Linked DNA regions of Elephas maximus indicus. The protein of the gene in region 3 interacts with the protein of the main gene of each other region in a pairwise test. Links are inferred from orthologs where the notes say so. Each region holds a gene or a part of one and is shown on either strand. Other genes may lie near its edges.

What was found.
Region 1: the proteins of TOLLIP (region 3) and ODAM interact in a two-hybrid assay, tested with the Homo sapiens proteins (2 studies listed by BioGRID and IntAct). The two-hybrid records come from large-scale screens. The link is inferred for Elephas maximus indicus from reciprocal best matches to the Homo sapiens genes TOLLIP and ODAM.
Region 2: the proteins of TOLLIP (region 3) and TOM1L2 interact in binary tests that used the Homo sapiens proteins (3 or more experiments, as listed by UniProt). The link is inferred for Elephas maximus indicus from reciprocal best matches to the Homo sapiens genes TOLLIP and TOM1L2.

Annotation. Positions count from the first base shown.
Region 1 is NC_064823.1:87,838,009-87,845,419, forward strand, and holds the start of ODAM (odontogenic ameloblast-associated protein), read right to left. Parts: upstream 3,328-7,411; 5' UTR 3,266-3,327; intron 2,990-3,265; 5' UTR 2,975-2,989; coding exon 2,924-2,974; intron 2,840-2,923; coding exon 2,798-2,839; intron 2,237-2,797; coding exon 2,189-2,236; intron 1,570-2,188; coding exon 1,336-1,569; intron 732-1,335; coding exon 684-731; intron 1-683. UniProt on the Homo sapiens protein: Tooth-associated epithelia protein that probably plays a role in odontogenesis, the complex process that results in the initiation and generation of the tooth. May be incorporated in the enamel matrix at the end of mineralization process.
Region 2 is NC_064820.1:214,376,034-214,383,559, reverse strand, and holds the start of TOM1L2 (TOM1-like protein 2), read right to left. Parts: upstream 3,328-7,526; 5' UTR 3,238-3,327; coding exon 3,186-3,237; intron 1-3,185. UniProt on the Homo sapiens protein: Acts as a MYO6/Myosin VI adapter protein that targets myosin VI to endocytic structures. May also play a role in recruiting clathrin to endosomes. May regulate growth factor-induced mitogenic signaling.
Region 3 is NC_064825.1:136,634,656-136,642,814, reverse strand, and holds the start of TOLLIP (toll-interacting protein), read right to left. Parts: upstream 3,275-8,159; 5' UTR 3,137-3,274; coding exon 3,104-3,136; intron 1-3,103. UniProt on the Homo sapiens protein: Component of the signaling pathway of IL-1 and Toll-like receptors. Inhibits cell activation by microbial products. Recruits IRAK1 to the IL-1 receptor complex. Inhibits IRAK1 phosphorylation and kinase activity.

The sequences.
Region 1 (7,411 bases), on a different chromosome or scaffold from region 3:
TAGTTCTACTCAGTCCTATAGGGTCCCTGTGAGTTGGAATTAACTCTATGGCAATGGGTTAACAGTTCATGATCCTTGTTTTCTGAACCTAGGATATTATAAAATTGACTACCAAATGCTTGAAGATTTTTTATACTAATATAGTGATTCTACTAGCTTGCATTAATTTTTCTTAGATTCTCTAATGGAAATCACTACCATTTGATAGTAAAATGCAGAATTTAATTGATAATATACAAGAACCTAGAAAAGTTTTAACCTGAATTTCATAACAGCCAGAAAATACGGGCAAATGCTCTCATGTCTAAATATTGTACAATGCCAGTTTAATCCATCTACCTCTAAAACAAAATTTAGGGTTGAGCAAACAGCCCATGGACTAATACTCTTGAGTTGTTTCCAAATGCCAACACTTTTGGTGCAGAGAAGGCATGACATAGGGCTTAGTGAGCTCCTCTATTTCCAACATAGCAATGCCTTGGAAGCCCAAGAGCCCTGGGGACTCCCTAGATGCGCTCAATTCAGGAACTGTTACTAGTGACTAACTAATGCTAGCCCAGCAATGATGGTACCCAGATAGTGATATCATTATATGGCTTTTATAGTCTTGTAATAGGAATCAGGGCTGAAATATAAAATAAAACATTCAGAACCATCTCTCCAGTGGCATACTATTCATTTACCTGTGCCTGCTCTTGGGGCAATTTGAAGGAGACCACATAAGGCATCACCTGCCAAGAAAGGAATCATAAAAAAGTCATACTTGACCATCAGAATTTATGGGTTTCTTTTCATAGACCTATCCATAGAAATTTATCATCTGTATTACCAGACTTGACGACAATGAAAGGTCGTACACTATATGTACCATTGTTGATGCAAATTGCTTTTGCAGCTTAGATGAAATATCCTGAATGTTCTTCTCCAAAACATAAACACTTCTGATTTGTGGTTTGTGATCCAAGAATAGCTAGCATGAACAGTATTTTTCATGTTAGGAATAAAAAAGATAAGGAAGTACTTGTGGGACAGTGGTTAAGTTCACGGTGAAGTCAGCGGTTCAAACCCGGGAGGCCATGGTTAAGTGTACTCTGTGACTCCAAAGGAGAAAGATGTGGCTGTCTGCTTCTGTAAAGATTACAGCCTTGGAAACCCTATAGGGCAGTTTTACTCTGTCCTGTAGGATTACTATGAGTCCGAATTGACTTGACAACATATTATGAGAAAAAAGTCTTTTTCGAAAACTCCTTTCTTACTTCATGTTTGTACTCACTTTAACAGTCAATGTATCTCTATCTCACTTCAGAACAAAAAGATAGAAAAGTCCCAACTTACGCGATTAGGGCCCTGTTGGGTCTGCAGTGGTATTTGAGCCTGTGAGGGGTCTAGCTGGGCCCACTGAGGTCCTTGGGCAAAATTGGCTTGTCCTGGGAAAGGTACCTGATTTGGGAACAGTCCAACAAATTGATCTAGGGTTGGCAAAGAGACCTGGGACAGTCCAGGAGCTTGAGCCTGCTGTCGATGTTGCAGGATCCCAGAGAAAGGAGGAGTCAATGAATTAAATGGGCCCTGGAAGGACACAAAGGAAAGAAAGTGTTTTCTTTCATGTCAAAAAGAACTTAAAAACCATCCCGAGCAACAAAGAGTCACAATGTAAGCAGTTTCTATATTTCTAGTTATGCTAAAAAAAAAAAAAAAAAAAATTATGCTACATTATAAAAAAAGAAAAGCAAATTGATAGATTTTGAGCCATGCAAATAACAAGAAAAAAAAAAATAACAAGAGGCACAGCTAAATTCCCAATGCTTGTGAGAAATAGAGGGTAGAATGAGTGGATAAAAGAACACAGATTCTGCAGTTTCCAGACTGGTTTCAAAACTTGTTTCCCCCCCCCCCCGCACTGGGCAGCTGGGCATGACTTTAGGTAAAACAGTTCATTGAATTATCTCACAGGATTGTTGTGAGAATTACTGCCTGGCATATACAAAGTCCTCAATAAAGAAATGTTAATCAGATTCTAATTTCTCACTTTACTCTTCAGTCATAAGAATATGTGGGATAAATTCATAACTTTAATAATCAAGATTTCAAAATGGAATCAGAGAACATTTTCTTCTCATATAAATCCTCACACGAAATGAAGAGTAGAAAAAGATACCCCTTAAAATAATTACTGAGATAAAGGTACCTGAAACTGTAGTGGCAAAAGCCGAGCATTATTAAGATTCAGAAGTAGCTAGAAAGGGAAAGATGATACGAAAATAAGATTATGACACATGCTAACACTGTTAAGAACTATGTTTACCACAAATACAGCGCAAGTCATAACTGGTCGATCGGTTTCTTGTTACAAGTGAGACATTTTCTCATTAAGCTGACATAAAATTACAGTGATTAGAGGTTAGAGTTGAAAACAGGCCTGGCATTTAACAACCTCTCCCCTGCTACGTTTGAGACTATATGACGTTAGCCCACTCCAGGGCTTTAGTCAGTCATTTTACGCTCTTAAACACCTATATACTACACTTGTACTAGCTGCTGCTAGAATGAAAAGATATAAAAGCTCTTGTTTCTTCTATAAAGAATGTACAATCAGAGGAGGAAGGCAAAACTAAAATTGTAGAAATGACCTTTATACAAAGCAAGCATGAAAATTGAAAATGTGTTTGGATATGCATAAAAGCTGGTAGATAGGAATCGAAGATAAATCAAGTGAAGGCTCTTTATCTCTTCCCCACCAGGTTTCCAAAAAAAACCCAAAAAAAAAGTAGAGATTGTTTTAAGTATTTCAACTAACCTCATTGCTGTTGCTTGCTGACACAAGGCGCTGTGGGACAAGCTAAAAATAAAACCAGAAGTGGTAAAAGATGGGTTTGTTATAGGTTTTATAGCATAAGATCAGTTGTAGCATGAAATCACTTACTGGGGCTGCCAGTGTGGCTCCAAGGAGCCCAAGGAGAATTATTACTTTCATTTTCAGATGAAATACCTAGAAAATAAGTTAATGTGATAATTAGCTTTAAAAAGACTCTCTACTAAAAAAATCTCTATAGTAATAAAATTAGTTGATACTGTTCAGAGGACTAATTTACTTATATTTTAGAATTTAAGTTAATTTAAATTTAATTTAGAATTTAAAATGAAAAAGACATATTTTTAATCTCTAAAACAGAACTTATTGTTTTTTCCAGAACAGCTGTTTACTAAAAACCAAGTTGTTTGCCTGTCTTTTCAGCTTAACCAAATGACTCATTTAGAGACATACTGTACAGTTGAATAGGTTAGTGAATAAGATCAACTCATTCCTGGTGCTGCTCTACACTGATGGAGTGGGTCATTCAGGCAATGGGAGGCTCAAGATGGGGGTCAACCAACTGGATCCTTAATATGAAAGAAACTTAATGTCTATATTTAAAAAGTACTACAATAAAGATCTGACAACACCAGTCCAATACCAAATAATCTTAGAAGTCTAATACTGAATTAACATTTTTCTAATTTAGAGAAATAGATTAAAACTTTAAATTGTTATATTTATTTATAGTGTAAACTGCCCAAATATTTTATTGCTTGCCTTCTAGATATGAAAATTCCTGCCCCAGTTCAAATCACTGACCTAAATGAATGTTTAAAATTTAGGGTGACCTTAATAGTCTATCTTGCAGAGTTCATTGATTTTGGTTCTTAAAACTATGGAAGCAAAATCTGATCTCTTACCTTACTTCTTGGCCTATGAAGAGATATCTAGAACTGTGCAAGATCTGGGTTCTTTTTATCTTTCAGCTTAGCTTACTTTTTAAAACCCATCTTCAGAAAAAAAGGACCAATCATTTTTTCAAAGGGACTAGTGATTCAGTGGGTTTCAGACAGTGACTTAGCTAATAACCCCTTTCCTAATCATTTAGGCGGTATATGGATACCCACACTTTTAGTAATGTTATTAAATTATCCCCTGAGAAATGTTTTGTTGTGATCATTCCTCACCTCTGCCTTGGTGATGACTAACCCTTCTGGAGTGATTTTGTTCTACTCCATCTTTTAAATTCTTAAAATGAATACCTTAACATAGTAACTTTTAAGACCTTTATTAAATTGAAGGATAAAGGGTGACTATTTTTATTTCAAGAGTAAAATACAGAATTACTCAACATAAGGTGTAGATCTAAAAGACAAAATTTCAAAATCTAGTTAGGGAACAGTAAAGGTTCTTTAATTCTTCAACATTGGGTTGAGTAAATACTAGCTAATTTCATTTAGATTTGACCCTGAAAACATTAGTGGATCTCCCTCTACCTATAGAATGAAATCCTAAAAAGAATTACTAGATTTCTATGTCTAGGAAATGTGTATCTGCACGTAAGCATGCCAACTGTGAATGAATAATAAATATAAAGAAGGATGCTGTACAATTTTTAGTGATGAGTAAATGTTTTCTATTTCAAAAATTCCCTTTTGCTAAATATAATTTTAGCATTTAAATTACAATGAATTATTACTGTCTTTAAATTGTCATTATTTAAATTACTGTCATAAAGGGATTTTTTTTCCCCTCTTGTTCGTTGTTGTTAATATTGACCCCACTCTAATGGATCACAAGGGTTGTGATAATGTTACCAATTCATTTCATTGTGGAATAATTCTTTTGGCTATTTTAATCTTAAAAAACTAATATTGGTCTTGTCATGCTGTTCAGAAGGGCAAAACTAGGTGAATTTGCTTTCCTTCATGGGATTAGACATTTCTTAGTAGCTTCATGATCATTAATGTTAAAATGACTATATTATTTGTCATTCATCTAGTCAAACAACACAAGATAAATATCATTTAAAATAAATAGATCTTTTTCTTACAAAAGAAGAGGAACTTGGATTTTATATCTTAGAAGGGAGTTTTCCCTGAGATTTATGAAAGCTGTGTTTTTAGTTTGTCCATAACAGTTAAACGACCCTTGATGTTGATGGCATTTTAAGAAAAGCTGGATGGTTAATGTAACCATTTATTGCCTGGAAAATCCAGTAGACTGGCTGACTGGCTAAACTAGATAGATGTCTATATTGCCTGATTTTATACATTTAGTTATTTGTGACTAATGACCTTGGTCTAGTCTGAATACTGTTAACTTTTCTTCACCATAAATTCTCAGTCTCCTGAGATTTCCTACTGCATTTTCAGCTTCTTAGGTAGCTAACCTCACAGCTGAGCCAGAAAGGTGTTAGGGCCAAGCACTGAAAAAGTCAGGAACTATATTAAAGAGCCAAAAGAGTGTCAACTTAAAAATTATCCTGGTGATGAATAGTTGCATCTAGCTACCTTCCTCAAATCTGATGGTAGTTGGAAGATTTCAGTCATTGTTTTCTTTTTTTTTCATTACTTGCGTATTCTAGAGAATAACAGTTGAAGCCCTCCAGGTGTACACGCTGAAGTGGAAAATAGTTGTCTATACCAGAAGAAATGACCTTCATGGTTGATAGCTTCCAACTCCGAGTGGAGGGCAAGTTATCTCTGGGTAGGAAAGGAAGTCACAGGAAGCTGCCCTTTAATTCTTATCACGTTGTGCCAAATATACTTGTTTCCCCCATTCACCTGTGTTGAACTTACTCAGTTTTCTATTCCCGTGTCATTCACCCAGTAGGTATGCCACTGAGTTTTGTTAAGTAAATGTCTTCATTCAGGAAAGGTGGTATAAATCTAGAGCAAGGTCAGCCTATATGTATTAAGGTGCAGGGACACAAGATGAGGAAATCCGGAACCAGATAATATCGCTATGACTTTTCTTTTAGATCAATTATCAGAATACCCGGTACCCATTTATTCAAAATAAAAGTACAAAAACATTTAAATGCCAAGTATGAGTAACTGTTGGATCACGTACCATTGAAAATACCCATATGTTTGCTCTGTCACAATAACATAAATGGTAAAAATTAAACAACAATGACTTCTAAATCAACCCTTTCAAAATATTATTTCCACTTTTTTTTTTTTACTTCAACCTGAAAAATCAGCCAAGAGGCTTACTAAGGACCAGTCTGAAGTAGATTAACCTCCTGTGGATCCAGATAACTAAATCTGAGTCCTAAATCTCAGCCCTACTGACCGCTTATAATAATAGTTTTCTGGCATATGAGCTATAATTTTTCCCGGAATCCCTGGTTACCCACTAATGTAGGCAGGATACATATAACACCCCCACTTTTCAGTGAGAAAAATGAGGTACAGAAGGGTTAGTTAATTAATTAATTAAGGGAGCAAATAGCTTTTGCTTACAGTTCATATCCTTGCTAAGCATTGAGAACTTAACACTAGTAAAACAGACAAGGTTTCTGCCACCATCAAAATTACAATTGTTTCCACTGTCAAAAAAGTATCAGAATTGTGGATAGAATTCAGGTCTTCTGATTCTTAATCCAGTAGGCTTTCCAAAGCACAAAGTACTAAGTATATAATATAAATAAGTATATAATCTTAGATTATCAGATAATTTTACACCTTGGAAATCACTATCTTCCTCTGTATAAGGAGGAAAACAATCTTATAACATCTTTTAATTTAGTGCTGACTCTCCAATTCCAGTAGATTCTTAAATGCAAGGATAAGTTCACATTATTAAGGTAAAAATGTATGCGATTCTACATATTCTGTAAGATTAGTAAAGGAGTATTTTTCTAGAGGAAGACTAAGAAATATAAATTATTCTTCCCTGCAGGATAACAGGTACAAGCCACCTGCCACTGCTAAGCATTTGAAACTTAAATTTTCCACTATGATTTTTTTGGGGGGGAGGGGAAAATCTCTCAGTTTAGATATTTTAAGCCAACACAATTTCCCAATGAATATCTATCAATTTACAAGCAGAAAGTAAAAGATTGAAAACAAAGAGAACTTAACCCAGAACCCAGTGCCGTCGCAAGTTTAAAATTTTTACTACCCCATTACTACAGAAACTGAAGCACACACTTGTTTTTGAGGATATATTTAAATGTTTATTTGAAGTTTTATCTACAGTTTTGGGGAAATCTTTAGAGCAATTTCAACAGTGGAGGAAATTATAACAAAGGACCTAGAGGTCATTTTTGATAGTTACAACTTTCTCCTGTTAAATACAATGGACAATTTTACTGTATAACCAAGGTTTCTGTACACAAAAAGAATAGGAAAAAAAATCAAGTCTGTATTCTAGAGAGCATTCCTCAGAAAAATACTGCTGAAAAATTTTCCATTATATGTTTGTGAAATGCTACACATCACAGCGCTTTCTTAGAGCCCTGGTGGTCTAGTGGTTAAGAACTCGGCTGGAAAGTTCGGCAGTTCGAATTCACCAGCCAATCCTTGGGAATTCTGTAGGGCAGTTCTACTCCGTCCTATAGGATCGCTATGAGTTAGAACTGCCTGGACAGCAATAGGTTTTTTT
Region 2 (7,526 bases), on a different chromosome or scaffold from region 3:
GGACAATAAAACTTGCTTTACAGAGCAGCTGGAAGGAGCAAGTGATGGCAGTGGAATTGCTCTGTGAAAGCCAGAGCTGCTGTCTTTAATCTTACCTTTGTTGTTCTTTTATTTCTGTGTTCCCCTCCCCCCCCACAGGTGGCATATAAAACAACAACAACAACAAAATTGTCATCCAGTTGAGTCCTACTCATGGCAACCCCACAAGTGTCAGAGTAGAGCTGTGCTCCACAGGGTTGTCAACACCTGTGATCTTTCAGAAGCAACTCACCAGGCCTTTCTTCCGAGGCACCTCTGGGTAGATTTGAACCTCCAACCTTTCAGTTAATAGACAAGCATATTACCCATTTGCACCACCCGGTCGAGTTGATTCTGACTCATAGTGACCTTATATGACAGGATAGAACTGCACCATAGGTTTCCAAGAAGTAGCTGGTAGACTCGAACTGCTGACCTTTTGGTTACCAGCTGTAATTCTTAACTACTGCACCACCAGTAGGTGACATATAAACCTGCTGCTGTCAAGTCAATTCCAACTCATAGTGACCCTGTAGGACAGAGCAGAACTGCCCCATAGGGTTTCCAAGGCTGTAATCTTTATGGAAGCAGATTGTCACGTCTTTTTCCTACAGAGCGGCTTGTGGGTTCAAACAGCCAATCCTTCCATTCGCAGCCAAGCACTTTAACCACCGCACCACCAGAGCTCCTGAGGTGGCAAAGGGGCATACTTAACACCCACTTAGTTGATATTACCATCACAAAAAAAACAAAAATTACCATCACATGCAGTCTTTAATGAGTGATGCTGCCTCCCTGGCACATACTTTTAATACTAAGGTGTCATGAAAATCACATTTACATCTTTGTCACAACAGTATAGACTGAATATACATTAGAATGTCACTCTGTCCTCTAACCATTTATCTGAACTGAACTGAGTTTTCTCAGTTGAGATAACTGGTTAGAGGACAGAGTGAAGAGCTGGTGCCCACTGCCTGTCTGCTCACCCTCTCCCCCACTGAGGTGCCACTGTGAGCACACTTATCCAGCCAGCAGTCTCTCCACTGCTGACCCCCAGGACCCAGGTCTCTCAGGCCCCTGTGTCACTGAGGAACCTTCACTCTCTTTATGGTCAAATGTCTCTTAGAAGGGATGGTAGACTCTGGAGCCTAGATGGGTACTTTCCTTCACAGATAACAGATTGGCCAGTAGTTTTTCCATATCCCATCTACATAAGAACAGTCAACCCTGACTTAATCATTCTCTTATTAACAGCGACAACTAATTTATTGAGCCTCTATTGTGTTCCAGGTACTATGCTAAGTGTTTCAATACATTATCTCACTTAATCCTCATTACTCTGTGAGTTTTAGTCTCCCACTCTCTTTATTGCTCTCTTTTTCTCTTTCTCTCAACAATTAAGCAATCTAAGGCTAGAAGGGTTAAAAACTTTTCTTGAATCACACAGCCAATAAATGGGCAGGATCAAAATTAAACTCAGGTCTTCCTGACAGAAGCATCCATGCTTTCCACTTCCTTTTTATCCTACACCCATTATATTGCTATATTTTAAAATCTCCTTTACCTTATATCCTTCATTAACTACCATGACATTTCAAAAGTGTGTAACTTCCTATTATAAAGGAGACAAAAAATTAAAAAAAAATTCCTTATTTACTTGCTCCCTCCATGAGCTGGCTGGAATTCAACACCCATCTGCACAGTGAGTTTGTAGAATACAGTTGAATGAAAGAGCCCCTGAGGAAAGTGGAAAAGGCAATGAGGAAGAAGAAAGGTGGGTGAGAGGCACTCAGTGGGACCAAGAGGTAAAGTGTCATAAAGTTGGGAAAAGTCTCTTCCAGGGCCCAATGTCCATCATCCTTTTAAAAGACACTTCACCAGAAAGGAAAGTGAGGTTCCCAAATGCCAGTTAACCAACAGGAGAGGCCTCTAAAATTTCACAGATCCCACTAAAAGCTGGAAATTCATAAGCAAAACAGGAAATAAATCACTACTGCCTAAACCAGTCAGACCCATACGGACAACAAAGGTCCCTGCTCATAAAAGACGTTTTACCGGTCCTTCCACCAACCAGGAGGCACCCAGTTTGAAAAGATACTAAGCAACATTCTTTACTGATCACTTAACATAAGGTCCTGTCTTGATGAAAGGCAAGTTGTTCTTTTAGTAGGGAAATCCCACATGGTAGCCACTTCAGTGCTCTTTCACCTACTCCTTGGGCTTTCCTTATCCAGGATACTAGTCGCCTCTGGTGCTCCTTTCCAGATGCCCACAGCTCCACTACAGGATTAACAAGAACCCCCCATGCCACCAAAAGATTTCAGCATTAGCAAATTTAATATAGCAGGGAGCAATTGCAATGTGCAGAGATTACCACAAGGAATATCAAAACTTTAGAACCTGGAAGGACCTAGCACATTTCACCTCCAAACACCTCATTTGACAGACAGGGAAACTTAAACCAGAAACGGTGGTGACTGCACAAGGTCATCTGTAAAGTCACTGGCAAAGCCAGTACTGGAGTCCAGGCTTCCTGACTCCCAGACCAGGGCTCTTATCATTAAATGACACAGGCTCCCTCTTTCCCGGGAGACTCTGCAGGCACGCCACGCCTGCCAGGACAAGCACACCCTACGAATCCCCATTCCAAACCTCTACAGCCTTGCTGAGTAGCAGCTCAAATTAGAAAGTCTTAGGGCAGAGTGCCCACTCTGAGGGCTGCTGGAACTGGAACAGGGGACAAGGATGGAGAGAGACGCGGGGGCGGGGTGCTACCGCGGTGACATCCCACAGGGGCTGGGAAAACTGGGTCCTAGGGGCAGTGGCGGCGAGACTGTTGGCTGGATCGGATGCTCACAGTGGCACCTCCTAATGGGGGAGGCAGTGAGCAGACAAGCAGTTGGCAGCCGCTCTAGAAGAGCCAGGAAGGGCTGGGCCCTGACGGGTAGGAACGCGCGGAGCATCCTGAGACCGAGCCGGTTCTCAGGGGCGCTGCCTAGCAGCATGCACCGGTGCCGGGCAAAGGCCAGCCGACCAGGATGCTCCGCCCGCCGACCAGAATGCCAGGTTCACCGTGAGGTGGCACGGGCGCCCGGCAGGGGCCGCGGCCCTCGCCAGCTCCAGTCCGCCGCCGCCGCCGCTCCCGCCCCCACGCGCGGCCTTACCGAGACACTGCCCCACCGGGGTACTGAACGGGTTCCCCAGGAGGAACTCCATCTTGGGTGGGGAGCCGGCTAAGGCCGTGTCTGCTGCCGCGGTCTCCGCTGTCCCCCAGTGTTGCTCCGGACCTGACTGACACTTGCCCCCGCCCCACCCTCAGGAACGTCGAGCCCCGGGCCCTCAACCCCACCCCCTTGTCGCTTCCCTATTGGGCAACGCCTGCGCAGCCCTCCTCTGACTGGCCTTACGTCCTCAGCGAAGCCCCACCTACCCCGCGGCTAGCGATTGGGCCGAAGAGCCAGGAGTCCCCGTCGGGCGTAGCGGCATCCCCCTTTGCCCGCCTCCGAACGTTAGGTTTTCCATTTTGATTCATCTAGATGTTGGTCAATCTAGAAAGTCCTTATATTATTGGATAAAATATGAGTCAATCATCCATCTAGGGGGCGGAGAGGAGGTGAAGCTAGGAAAATCCCCGCCCATAGAGCGTGCTGATTGGAGAGACGTTTGTTTTGTCTGCGCTTGGTTGGTGTGAGGAATATTTCCCCGCCTAGAAATTGGGTCAAGTGACCCGTCAACTTTCACCCAGGATGTCTACCTTTTGACTTCCCATAGCAACCGAGTGGCTGCGCTTGGTTCCCCTAGCAACCGGGCGGTGAGTCTGCTGAGTGGAGACAGCCCCGTAGTCGGTACCTGGAAAGGTGAGAGCGGGCAACTGCAACTCCGAGAAACCTCGAAGGGGCCAGACTGCGCCCCCTTTATGACTCTTTTCTGTGACCTTTTTCTCTGAATTAGCACACAGATCCCGTGCTTTTCAGGCCTTCGGATGAGTAAGAAATTGCTAAAGAAGCATCTCCTTAGGCATGAGCAGAAGGGATTTTTAAGGGAGGAATTGTTACATCCTCCCCGCCCCTTAGCCGTATCTCTTTCACAGAAAGAGAGGTATCCAGTCCACTGATAACTTCCTCCAGACGCCTTAACTCTCACCAAACTGTTTCATATTTTTATTCTTCATTCCAGTGCTGTATTATTAATGGGCTTTTATTAGGAATATAGATACCTGGGTTCCATGTTTATCTCTCTCAGTAGCTCATTGTAAGACTTTGGACCAGTTCCTTCCTCTACCAGAGTCACAGTTTCCCTGTCTGGGGAATAGAGACATTCGGATTCCCTTCTCTAATGGCCCCCAGAGCTGGCATGTAATTAAATAATGCATGTGCACTTAGCACTCAGTAAAATGGTTGATTTTCTTCCTATTAAGTCATGGCCAATAAACCAAAACCAAACCAAACCCATTGCTGTCTAGTCGATTCTGATTCATAGCGACCCTATAGGACAGAGTAGAACTGCCTCATAGAGTTTCCAAGGAGCGCCTGGTGGATTTGAACTGCCGACCTTTTGGTTAGCAGCTATAGCTCTTAACCGCTATGCCACCAGGGTTTCCAAGTCATGGCCAATAGGGGTTATATATTTTATATCCAATTGATCCCAGGTTGTTGTTTCCCAAGATAATTCTGGATCTGTATCTCTGTGAGGAGGCTACTCCATTGACAGTGGTGTAAAGTCCTTCACTGCTTTTCCTACTTACTACGTCTGGTCTTCACCAACAACTCTATCAGCAGGCAAACTAAAAGGCAAACCAGGTTGGGTAGTAAATTACTATAAATTACTGCAAATCACTCTGGCTGCAGTACTGAGATTGGTAAGTGTAGTGAGGCCTTTATCTTACTGTGTTTGCATCTTTGCGCTGACCCAAGAACAGGTGAGAAATCAATGTCACTGTGACAATGATAGACCACAGTGCCCCAGGTACGGTTGAGTAGAGATTAAGAAAATGGTCTCTGGAGTCATAGTCTCCTGCCTCTGCCATATAGTAGGTGTGTAAACTTGGCAAGTTACTTAACCTTTCTAACCAGGTCCAGCCTTTTTATCTGGAAACTGGAGATGATTACTCTTTCATATAAATTAAGTTCATAGAGATCTCTCACATTCACATCATCTCTCAGCTTACTACTCTTGCCACTCTCAGTACTGCAGCCAGAGTGAGCTTCTTAAACTTAAAATCTGACCATGTCACTGCACTTATGAAACCCTAGGAGCTTCCCAGGGGTTGTAGGATAGTAATAAAACTCCTGCAGCCTTTTCAACTTAACATCACTCCAGCCAAAGTGGAACAGGTCTTGTTCTCTCCCACCTCAGGGCTCCCACCATGCAGTTCCCTCTTCCTTCCTGCCTTTCCAATCTCAGCCCTGTCTCCTCTGGCCAGGCCAGGTGTCCCTAACGTATGCTCCCCTACTTCCTATTCTGACAAACTTGTCATAATTATAAGTAAATCTTTCTACGATTATTTGATTCATGTGTGAAACAGAGGTAAGAAGATCTGTCCATGTCATTTATGGCACATAGTAGGTACTCAGTAAACACATGTGAGCTAAATGAATGGCCACGTATTGAGTCCATTCCCAGCCAGCAACTTGGCATGCATTGCTTCTTTTAATCCTCATAAGCAAACATAAGAGGCAGGAACAGATGGGAAATTGAAGGTTTAGACAGGTGAAGTGAGTTGCCAAAGATTGCACGGACAGGATTCAAACTCTGCCTTGGTGTGCTTAACAAATAAGGACATAACAACTATACCACACTGCATAGCAATAGCTAGGCTTGACTGAAAGCAAGCTTGGCATATCACATGTTCCGGGCCTTGATAAAGAGAGAGTGATGAGAAGTCAGTCAAATTTTTGAAATCAGGATTAAAAACCATTTCCCAAAGTAGAGCACCTTTCTTTGAAAAAGCACAAACACTTTGAGGATGACATCTGTCTAACACAGCAAAGGCAAGTTGGTGGGAAGTTATGGGAAAACTGCTTCAGAAAAGTGGAGAAATGGAGAGAAGCCAAGGACTAGAAACACCTCTAAGGAGGAGGAGCCAGTGTTGAGAGCTTGGAGAAAGTGGGAAGAAAGGGATCAAAGTTTTGGAGAATGGAAGACCCAGGTTGAGGGGGCAGGTATGTCTCCTCCCAGGGCAGAAGGGAAGGATGCAGAAGGATAAAAGGCACAGGGACATTTGATCATGGACTACCTGTGAATGGAGAGCACATCATTGCATGAGCTGCATACAAGTGGATGTGGGGAGGCAGGAGGGCAGCCAGGCAGTAGATGCCTCCAGGATCAGGTGGCAGGTTTGCCGGGCCCACTCTGGGTTTGTGGTGGACACCACCTTCCAACGTCAGGAGTCTCTCTGGCAGGCTCAGTGGAGAGAGCAGAGGGCAGGGGACTCCAGGTCAAAGACCAACAGAACAAGAGGTTTGGGGGGCCCCAGAGGCAAAGTAGAAGGTAAAGCCAGCAGGGAGGTGAAAAGCTGGGAAGCCATGGTGGAAAGTACAGGGGGAGGATGGAGTTTCCATAGGGTTCAAGAGGCCACCCAGGGAGTTTCCAGCAGACTGCTGGAGAATGTGCCTTCACGGAGGGCCCAGCCCTTCCAGATGTCCTTGCCAAGGGGGTAGGGGGTAATGAGAAAGAGGCCGAAGCATCCCCATGTTTCCAGGGCTGGGACTCTATCCAGCCAGGAATAGCAGTTGGAGATCAGCCTGCAGTGTGACTAACCGAACTCACAGATCCCCACTTCTTTGGCAGCTTCATCTCAGCCAAAGACCTTTGGACCATTAGCAACAGAAAACTACTTGAGTTAGCTTAAGAAAAACAAACAAAACCATTGCTGTCAAGTTGATTCACTCATAGTGACCCTATAGAACAGAATAGAACTGCCCTATAGAGTTTCCAGGGAGCGGCTGGTGGATTGGAACTTCTGACCTTTTGGTTAACAGCTGAGCTCTTAACCACTGTGCCATCAGCTTAAGGAAAAGAGGACTCAGTGTAAACAATCAGGAAACTCTCTTGGAACCACCAAGAGCCAGCTCACCGCCAGGCCTCCCAAGGACCTGGTATGCCAGCAGGAAGAAGGTAGCATCTGTCCGGCCTTTTGTCTCTCTCTTTCTGGACAATCTGTTTCTCTTCTCCTTGCTCATCTGCCTCATTCCCCCTGCTTTCTCTACTTCCATGTGCTAGGCCACCCCACAGCTTCCCAGTTCCTCCCAGGGCAAGCAGTTCACTCTTACAGGTGCACTCAGCCCACAGCCCCATGTCCACCCTTCTTAGAGGGATCTATGGGGTTAGATGCTCAGAGCAGGGGGCTTCAGTCTGGTAAGGAACACAGTCAGAACATAGTGCCCAGAAGCCTGAGCAAGGATGGACACAGACAGCCCAAGGCCTGAGGCAGGGCCGAGGCCTGAGGAGAGCTAAGGTGTGGAGGCAAAGGAGGCCAGTGTAGACACCAGTCCTTGGGGCTGTGG
Region 3 (8,159 bases):
CCCAACGGCAGGAAACTATGTTTGGTTGTTTGTTCACTGCATCCTAGCTGCCTAGCTGAGGGCCCAGTGCCCTGAACATCGCGATCAACAACACTGGCTGAATGAGTAAGGGATACCTTTTCCAGTGGTGCTACAAGACTCGTTTTGAGGATGCCTTACACGGCCCTACAATGGCCCTAACACAGACCTAACATTACCGTCTGTTCACAGGTCAAGGAGGGCTCTTCTACGATAGCTGGACATCTACATGCGCTGTGCACCAACGGATGACCATCAACCCACGCAACTGTGTCACACACAGACACCAGCCTGTGCACCAACACACGGACATCAATCTACAGGACTGTGTCACACGCAGACACCAGCCTGTGCGCCAACTCACGGACATCAATCTACAGAACTGTGCCATACACAGACACCAGCCTGTGCACCAACGTACAGACATCAATCTACATGACTGCGTCACACAGACACCAGCCTGTGCGCCAACGTACAGACATCAATCTACATGACTGCGTCACACAGACACCAGCCTGTGCACCAACGTACAGACATCAATCTACATGACTGTGTCACACAAAGACAACAGCCTGTGCGCCAACACATGGACATCAATCTACAGGACTGTGTCACACACAGACACCAGCCTGTGTACCAACATCAATCTATATGACTGCATCACACAGACACCAGCCTGTGCACCAACACATGGACATCAATCTACATGACTGCATCACACACAGACACCAGCCTGTGCACCAACACACGGACATCAATCTACATGACTGCGTCACACACAGAAACCAGCCTGTGCGCCAACGCACGGACATCAGTCTACATGACTGCGTCAAACACAGACACCAGCCTGTGCACCAACACACAGACATCAGTCTACATGACTGCGTCACACACAGACACCAGCCTGTGCACCAGCACACGGACATCAATCTACAGGACTGTGTCACACACAGACACCAGCCTGTGCACCAACACACAGATATCAATCTACATGACTGCGTCACACACAGACACCAGGCTGTGCGCCAACGCACGGACATCAATCTACAGGACTGTGTCACACACAGACACCAGCCTGTGCGCCAACTCACGGACATCAATCTACAGGACTGTGTCACACGCAGACACCAGCCTGTGCGCCAGCACACGGACATCAATCTACATGACTGCGTCACACACAGACACCAGCCTGTGCACCAGCACACGGACATCAATCTACATGACTGCATCACACACAGACACCAGCCTGTGCACCAACGTACAGACATCAATCTACATGACTGTGTCACACACAGACACCAGCCTGTGCACCAACACACAGACATCAATCTACATGACTGTGTCACACACAGACACCAGCCTGTGAGCCAACGCACGGACATCAATCTACAGGACTGTGTCACACACAGACGCCAGCCTGTGCACCAACACACGGACATCAATCTACACGACTGTGTCACACACAGACGCCAGCCTGTGCACCAACGTACAGACATCAATCTACACGACTGTCACACACAGACACCAGCCTGTGCACCAACGTACAGACATCAATCTACAGGACTGTGCCACACAAAGACACCAGCCTGTGCACCAGTGTACGGACATCAATCTACACAACCGTGTTACACACAGACACTAGCCCCAGAAGCACTGTGGAAAGACATCAGACAAAAGCGTCACTACCTTGATGTCACATGTCCTACATACCTGAATCTTCTCTGAAGCCCCCAATTACTCATTACAGAACGTAGCTTATCTCAGTTTCATGTAGTCACAGAGCTTAATGACTGTTTCCAATCACCTCGGCGACAGGAACAGCTCAATTTATGCCAGGCACTGAGCTAGGCATTGTGCCTGTTTAAGCTCAGCCCAGCGGGAAGGGGGCCAGCTCCACACCCATGAGAGGAGCTCTAAGGACTGACCAGAAGTGCTGTCAGCCCGAGAACCTGGGTGGAAGACGGGCTGGTGACGGTGGCAAGGGGCCTTGGGACTGAGGTCAGTAAGGTTCCAAACAAGGGAGATAAGTTCCCGGGAGTGTAAACAGGTACAATGAGTCAGCCCTCACCCCACCACGTGAGGTAGGTCCTACTGCTCCAGACAAGGGAAATGAGTCCCCGGGAGGCTGAGAACACGTCCCAGGTGTATGAGACAAGCAAGAAAGTGACAGGGCAAGGAACTGGCCGAGCAGCCCCAGAAGCCCTGCTCAACCATTACACACACAGCTCTCGAGGACACAAAGATGGGAGCCTTAATTTAAAAGTCATGGTTCCCTTGCTTCTCTACCAGGCAGTTACGAAAAATGAGAAAACTGCAACCGGCCATCCCCCTGGAATTCCCTGTCCTGGCTGAAGACAAAGAGATGGCAACACTGACAATCAGAAGCAAGCCACAGATGCCCCTGCTGCCTCTGGAACCGCCCCACGCCCGGTTCGGTACGATGTCCGCCAGGCAGCTTACTTTCCCACTTTAAAAAGGCCCTGTGCCCCAAGACGGGCTTCTAACACGCCTGCGTCTTCCTTCCCAACTGGGAAAAAACGCTACACGAAAAGGGTTCTTTAACCAATGTCCAGCTTCAAGGGTGGGCGCCCGGACAACCCCGGCTCCCGCGAAGCTCCTCGGCCCCCGCCCAGCCCTGGACCTTCCGAGTGAAGCGGCACAACCACGACCTACAAGGACCAAACGCGACCCCCACGGCAGTTCTGCTCCGCTGTCTCGTCAGCGCTCGCCAGCGTGGCCGTCACAACCCGGGCCTCAGAGGACCGGCCTAACCCGGCGGGAGGCGGCCGCCGCCGGCCATTCACCCCCAGGGCGTCCCGGTCGGTCGGTCGGTCGGTCGGTCGGCGCCAGCCCTCCAGCGACGTCACCAACACCGCGGCGGGGAAGACGCCCCCCCTCAGGAGCAGGGCGCCCCTTCGCGGCGCTCGGTTCCCACCCTCCCATCTGCAACGGAGGAAACGGAGCTCTTGGGGGGGGCCGCCAACCGGAGGCCGCCGCTCTGCGCGGGGGAAGGGGCGCCTGAGGAGCGCCCGTCGCCGCTGAGGAGAGGGGCCCGCGCCCCGCCGCCCCCGCCGGGAGACCTCACCGGGCCGCGCTGCGTGCTGACGGTGGTCGCCATGGCGCTGCGGGCGGCTCCGCGCCTCGCCGACCCCAGAGCGGACCCGCCGGCGACCCTGCCGCCCCCGCCGGAGCCTGCGAAGCCGACGGTTGTCACCGCGAGACCGCAGCCCCAGTCAGCTGACGGCGGCCCGCCCCCGCCGCCGCCGCCGCACCGCGCACGCGCCCGGCCGCGCCCCCACTGCGCAGGCGCCGCGCCCGCCTCGCCCCTTCCGGCCGCCTGTCCGACCCGCGCTCCCAGCTCCGCGTGGGCCGGGCCTCGGCGGGCGCCTGCGCAGTCGCCGTCTCCTCCGGCCGGCCGGCTCCGCGAAATGGCTCCCGTCGCGGCCGTGCGCGCATGCCCAAGCCTGGGCGCGCCACCCGCGCCAGTGGCGTCTCACAGGCTCTCCCGCGGCGGGCAAAGGACCCGCTCCGCCTGACCCTACCCGGGCGGGGCCTCTCCCGTCTGCTGACAGGACTGAACAGCCGAGGGGCCTGCCGTCGTCCCGCGTGGCCCTGCAGGCGCCAAGAGCCGCCGAGCGGCAGCGTACCCCTCGAGGCGACCCCTGTGGACCGGCCCTGAGGGCGAACCGGCCCTGACCCGGAGGGTGAATCGGTCCTGAGGGTGGCCCGGCCCTGAGGGCGAACCGGCCCTGACCCGGAGGGTGAACCGGTCCTGAGGGTGGCCCGGCCCTGAGGGCGAACCGGCCCTGACCCGGAGAGTGAACCCTTCCTGAGGGTGGCCCGGCCCTGAGGGCGAACCGGCCCTGACCCGGAGGGCGAACCGGCCCTGACCCGGAGGGTGAACCGGTCCTGAGGGTGGCCCGGCCCTGAGGGCGAACCGGCCCTGACCTGGAGGGCGGACAGGAAACACGATGGAGTGACGAGGGGTGGCCCACACGGGGAGTCCTGTCAGCCGGGAACCTGGCGGCAGGGGCGGTGGGGGTCAGCAGGACTGCAGGGCTGAGGGGCCCAAAGGCCTCCAGAGGGGACTGCTCCCATTGAGGAATCGCTGAGTCGCAGGAACAGCAAGCCAGCCGGAGGTGGTCAGAAGTGCCAGTCATTACGGGGAAAATTCTCCCACTTGGGCAGGAGCCCAAAGCGAAAGACAGCAGCGGAGGGTCCTCACATGTGGCTAGAACCACCACCAGCAGGCGTGTGATCCTTCTTGGAGAAGGGAGAACTGTGGTGCTTAGTGGGCTGAGAACAAAACAGATGGCGATTCAGAAAGACATCATCTCAAGCACTCCATTTACTTTGAGGCTGCTGTGTCTGGGTGGAGGAGTATTAATATTTAACCCCCCCCCCCAAAAAAAAGAGCTGTAGGAGCCAAGCTAAAGGAGAGAGGAATGGGGGCTGACATACTTCAGCCGGCTTTGGAAAGTGGGTGGGCCACTTAAATAAATGGACAAGATAGAAGGTGTTCCCAAGAGAAGGAGCCTGAGACTGCTCTTCTATTTCTCTCCATCACTTCACAGCTAAATGGCTCAAAATATACTCTGAAAAAAAAAAAAAAAAATATATATATATATATACTCTGACTCCAATTTCTCTTCCTACATTCTCTCTGAAGCCCATTCCAGCCAGGCTTTTGCCCCCAGCCCCTTGACCCTTGTCAAGGTGTTCAGTGATCTCCATGTTGTTAGTGGTCAATTGCCAGTACTCATCTTTCTTGAGCTACAGCAGAATTGACACAGTCACTTCCTCCTAGAAATGCTTTCTATGCCCTCCTGGTATAAATGGCTGCCCAGCAGCACATTAACACTGGGTTAGGCTATCAAATGTCACACTTAAAAGGATAATTAGAGGCATTTAATGATTATTTTGGAGCCGTGGTGGCACGAAGCTTAAGTGCTTGGCTGCTAACTGAAAGGTCCTTGGTTCTAACCCACCAGCCACTCCATGGGAGAAAAGGCATGATGATCTGCTCCCATAAAGATTGTTGTTGGTAGGTGCCATCGAGTTGATTCCGATTCATAACAACGCTATGTACTACAGAAAACAGTGCCCGGTCCTGCAGCATCCTCTCAGTCATCGCTATGTTTGAGTCCATTGTTGCAATAACTGTGTCAGCCCATCTCGTTGAAGGTCTTCCACTTTTGCACTGACCCTCTATTTTACCAAGCATGATGTCCTTCTCAGGGAGTGGTGCCTCCTGATAACATGTCCAAAGGATATGAGACAAAGTCTCACCATCCTTGCTTCTAATGAGCACTCTAGTTGTACTTCTCCCACTCCAGGTTTGTTCGTTCTTCTGGCATTCCATGGTATAGTCAATATTCTTTGCCAACGCCATAATTCAAAGGCTTCAATTGACAGCACACAATAATGAAGATTTTTTACAAACGTACTAAACTCATTGCTATTGAGTCGATTCCAACTCATAGGGACCCTATAGGACAGAGTGGAACTGCCCATAGGGTTTTCAAGGAGCGGCTGGTGGATTCGAACTGCTGACCTTTTGGTTAGCAGCCAAACTCTTAACCACTGCACCACCAGGGCTCCGTACAAAAGTACAGATAGTGGTAAAGCAACCAACAAGGTATCTCATTGCTAGTGGGAATGTAAAATGGTACAGCCACTTTGGAAGACAGTCTGGTAGTATCTTATAAAGCTAAACATAGGCTTACCATTCAATTCAGTAATCACACTCCTAGGTATTTACCCAAGTGAGATGAAAACGTATGTCCATATTAAAACCTGAACATGAATGTTGTAGCGGCTTTATTCATAATTGCCAAAAATTGGAAGCAACCAAGATGTCCTTTAGTAGGTGAATGGATAAACAAACTGTGATACATCCATAAAAAAACAGGGGAACAAATTCAGCAATAAAAAGAAATGCTCTGTCAAGCCACAAAAAGACAGAGGAACCAGCTAGTGGACAGCACCATCCCTTGGGCTGAAGAGCTGATGTAAGGAAGTTGTTAGTACAATCAGTCTAGTGAGAGTGATGAGCCACCTGAGGAGAGCTGGGGCCTTGGGTGGGAAAGCACATCTCACTCTCTATAGGAGGGGAAGATTGATACAATTTTGCAATATACCATGCAGGAGAATGTATTTGGAGGGGCAACTGGAAAAAAAACAGTCCACCTCTTTTGCACCTGGACATCCACTTTTTTTTTTTTTTCTGGTGAAAAAATCTGGTGTTCCCAACACAGCAAAAATGCAGTCTCATCCTTTACCACATTTTTGTGGATGATGTCAATTAAGTCACATTACTACTTGGAGTAAAAATTGAAGCATTAGTTATCAAGAGTGTTTTGTTATTGAAAATTATAAACAGAAAATATAGCTGCAACATTCTCTATTGCTGTACCTGTTAATGAGGTCCAAGATGATAACCAAAGCTTCCTTCTGCTACCATTCATTTCACGTTCCCCTTATTCTCTGCCAAACACCTCAGCCGTATCGATCCTGAAGCTACTGGACATAAGGAATTCCTTTAAGGTCCACATAGAGCAGTGGTGTCACTAGGGTTGATATCACCCCACCCCCCACATGGACCAGACCATACAGAATCCTTGGTAATGTTTTTTATACTAATGTTACTTGTAAATTGTAATTCCCCTACGTCTTTGTTATCTGGTGCAGCTATAACAGAAATACCACAAGTGGATGGCTTTAACAAAGAGAAATTTATTCTCACAGTTTAGGAGGTTAGAAGTTCAAAATCAGGGTGCCAGGGGAAGGCTTTCTCTCTCTGTTGGCTCTGGGGGAAGGTCCTTGTCATGAATCTTCCCCAGTCAAGGAGCTTCTCAGTGCAGAGACGCCGGGTTGAGAGGACACGCTATTCTCCTGGCTCTTGTTTCTTGGTGGTATGAGGTCCCCATGTCTCTCTGCTCCCTTCTCTCTTTTATATCTCTAAAGAGATTGGTTTAAGACACAGCCTCATCTTGTAGACTGAGTTCTGCCTCATTAACATAACTGCCACTAATTCTACCTCATAACTGACTCGACGGCACTGGGTAACATAACAGAGGTAGGATTTATAACACACAGGAAAATCACATCAGATGACAAAATGGTGGACAATCGAACAATACTGGGAATCACCGCCTAGCCAAATTGATACACATTTGGGGTGAGCACAATTCAATCCATAAGACCATGTATCACTCCTTTTTTTTTTAAATTAGTACTTCATTGTCAAAAAAGTTATTGATACAGGCTCACAAATACTAAAATTACCACAATATTATAGCTAAAACACCAGCAAATTTGACAAAATCTCAACTATAAAAATGCTGGCAGCAAGGAAAACAGCAAAAGGAAGAATTGATGAAGTAAAAGAACTGAAGATTTCAAAGGGCAGCTCGAGAAGACAAAGTAAAGTATTATAATGACATGTGCGAAGAGCTGGAAATGGAAAACCAAAAGGGAAGAACACACCTGGAATTCACAGGCTGAAAGAACTGAAGAAAAAATTCAAGCCTAAAGTTGCAATAGTGAAGGATTCTATGGGGAAAATATTAAACGACCCAGGAAGCATCAAAAGAAGATGGGAGGAACACACAGAGTCATTGTACCAAAAAGAATTAGTCAATGTTCAACCATTTCAAGAGATAGCATATGATCGGGAACCGATAGTACTGAAGGAAGAAGTCCAAACTGCTCTGAAGGCATTGGCGAAAAACAAGGCTCCAGGAACTGATGGAATATCAATTGAGATGTCTCAACAAACAGATGCAGCGCTGGAGGTGCTCACTCGTCTATGCCAAGAAATATGGAAGACAGCTTCCTGACCAACTGACTGGAAGAGATCCATATTTATGCCCATTCCCAAAAAAGGTGATCCAACCGAATGAGGAAATTATAGAACAATATCATTAATATTACACACAAGCAAAGTTTTGCTGAAGATCATTCAAAAACGGCTGCAGCAGTATACGGACAGGAAACTGCCAGAAATTCAGGCCGCTTTCAGAAGAGGACGTGGAACCAGGGATATCATTGCTGATGTCAGATGGATCCTGGCTGAAAGCAGAGAATACCAGAAGGATGTTTACCTGTGTTTTATTGACTATGCAAAGGCATTCGACTGT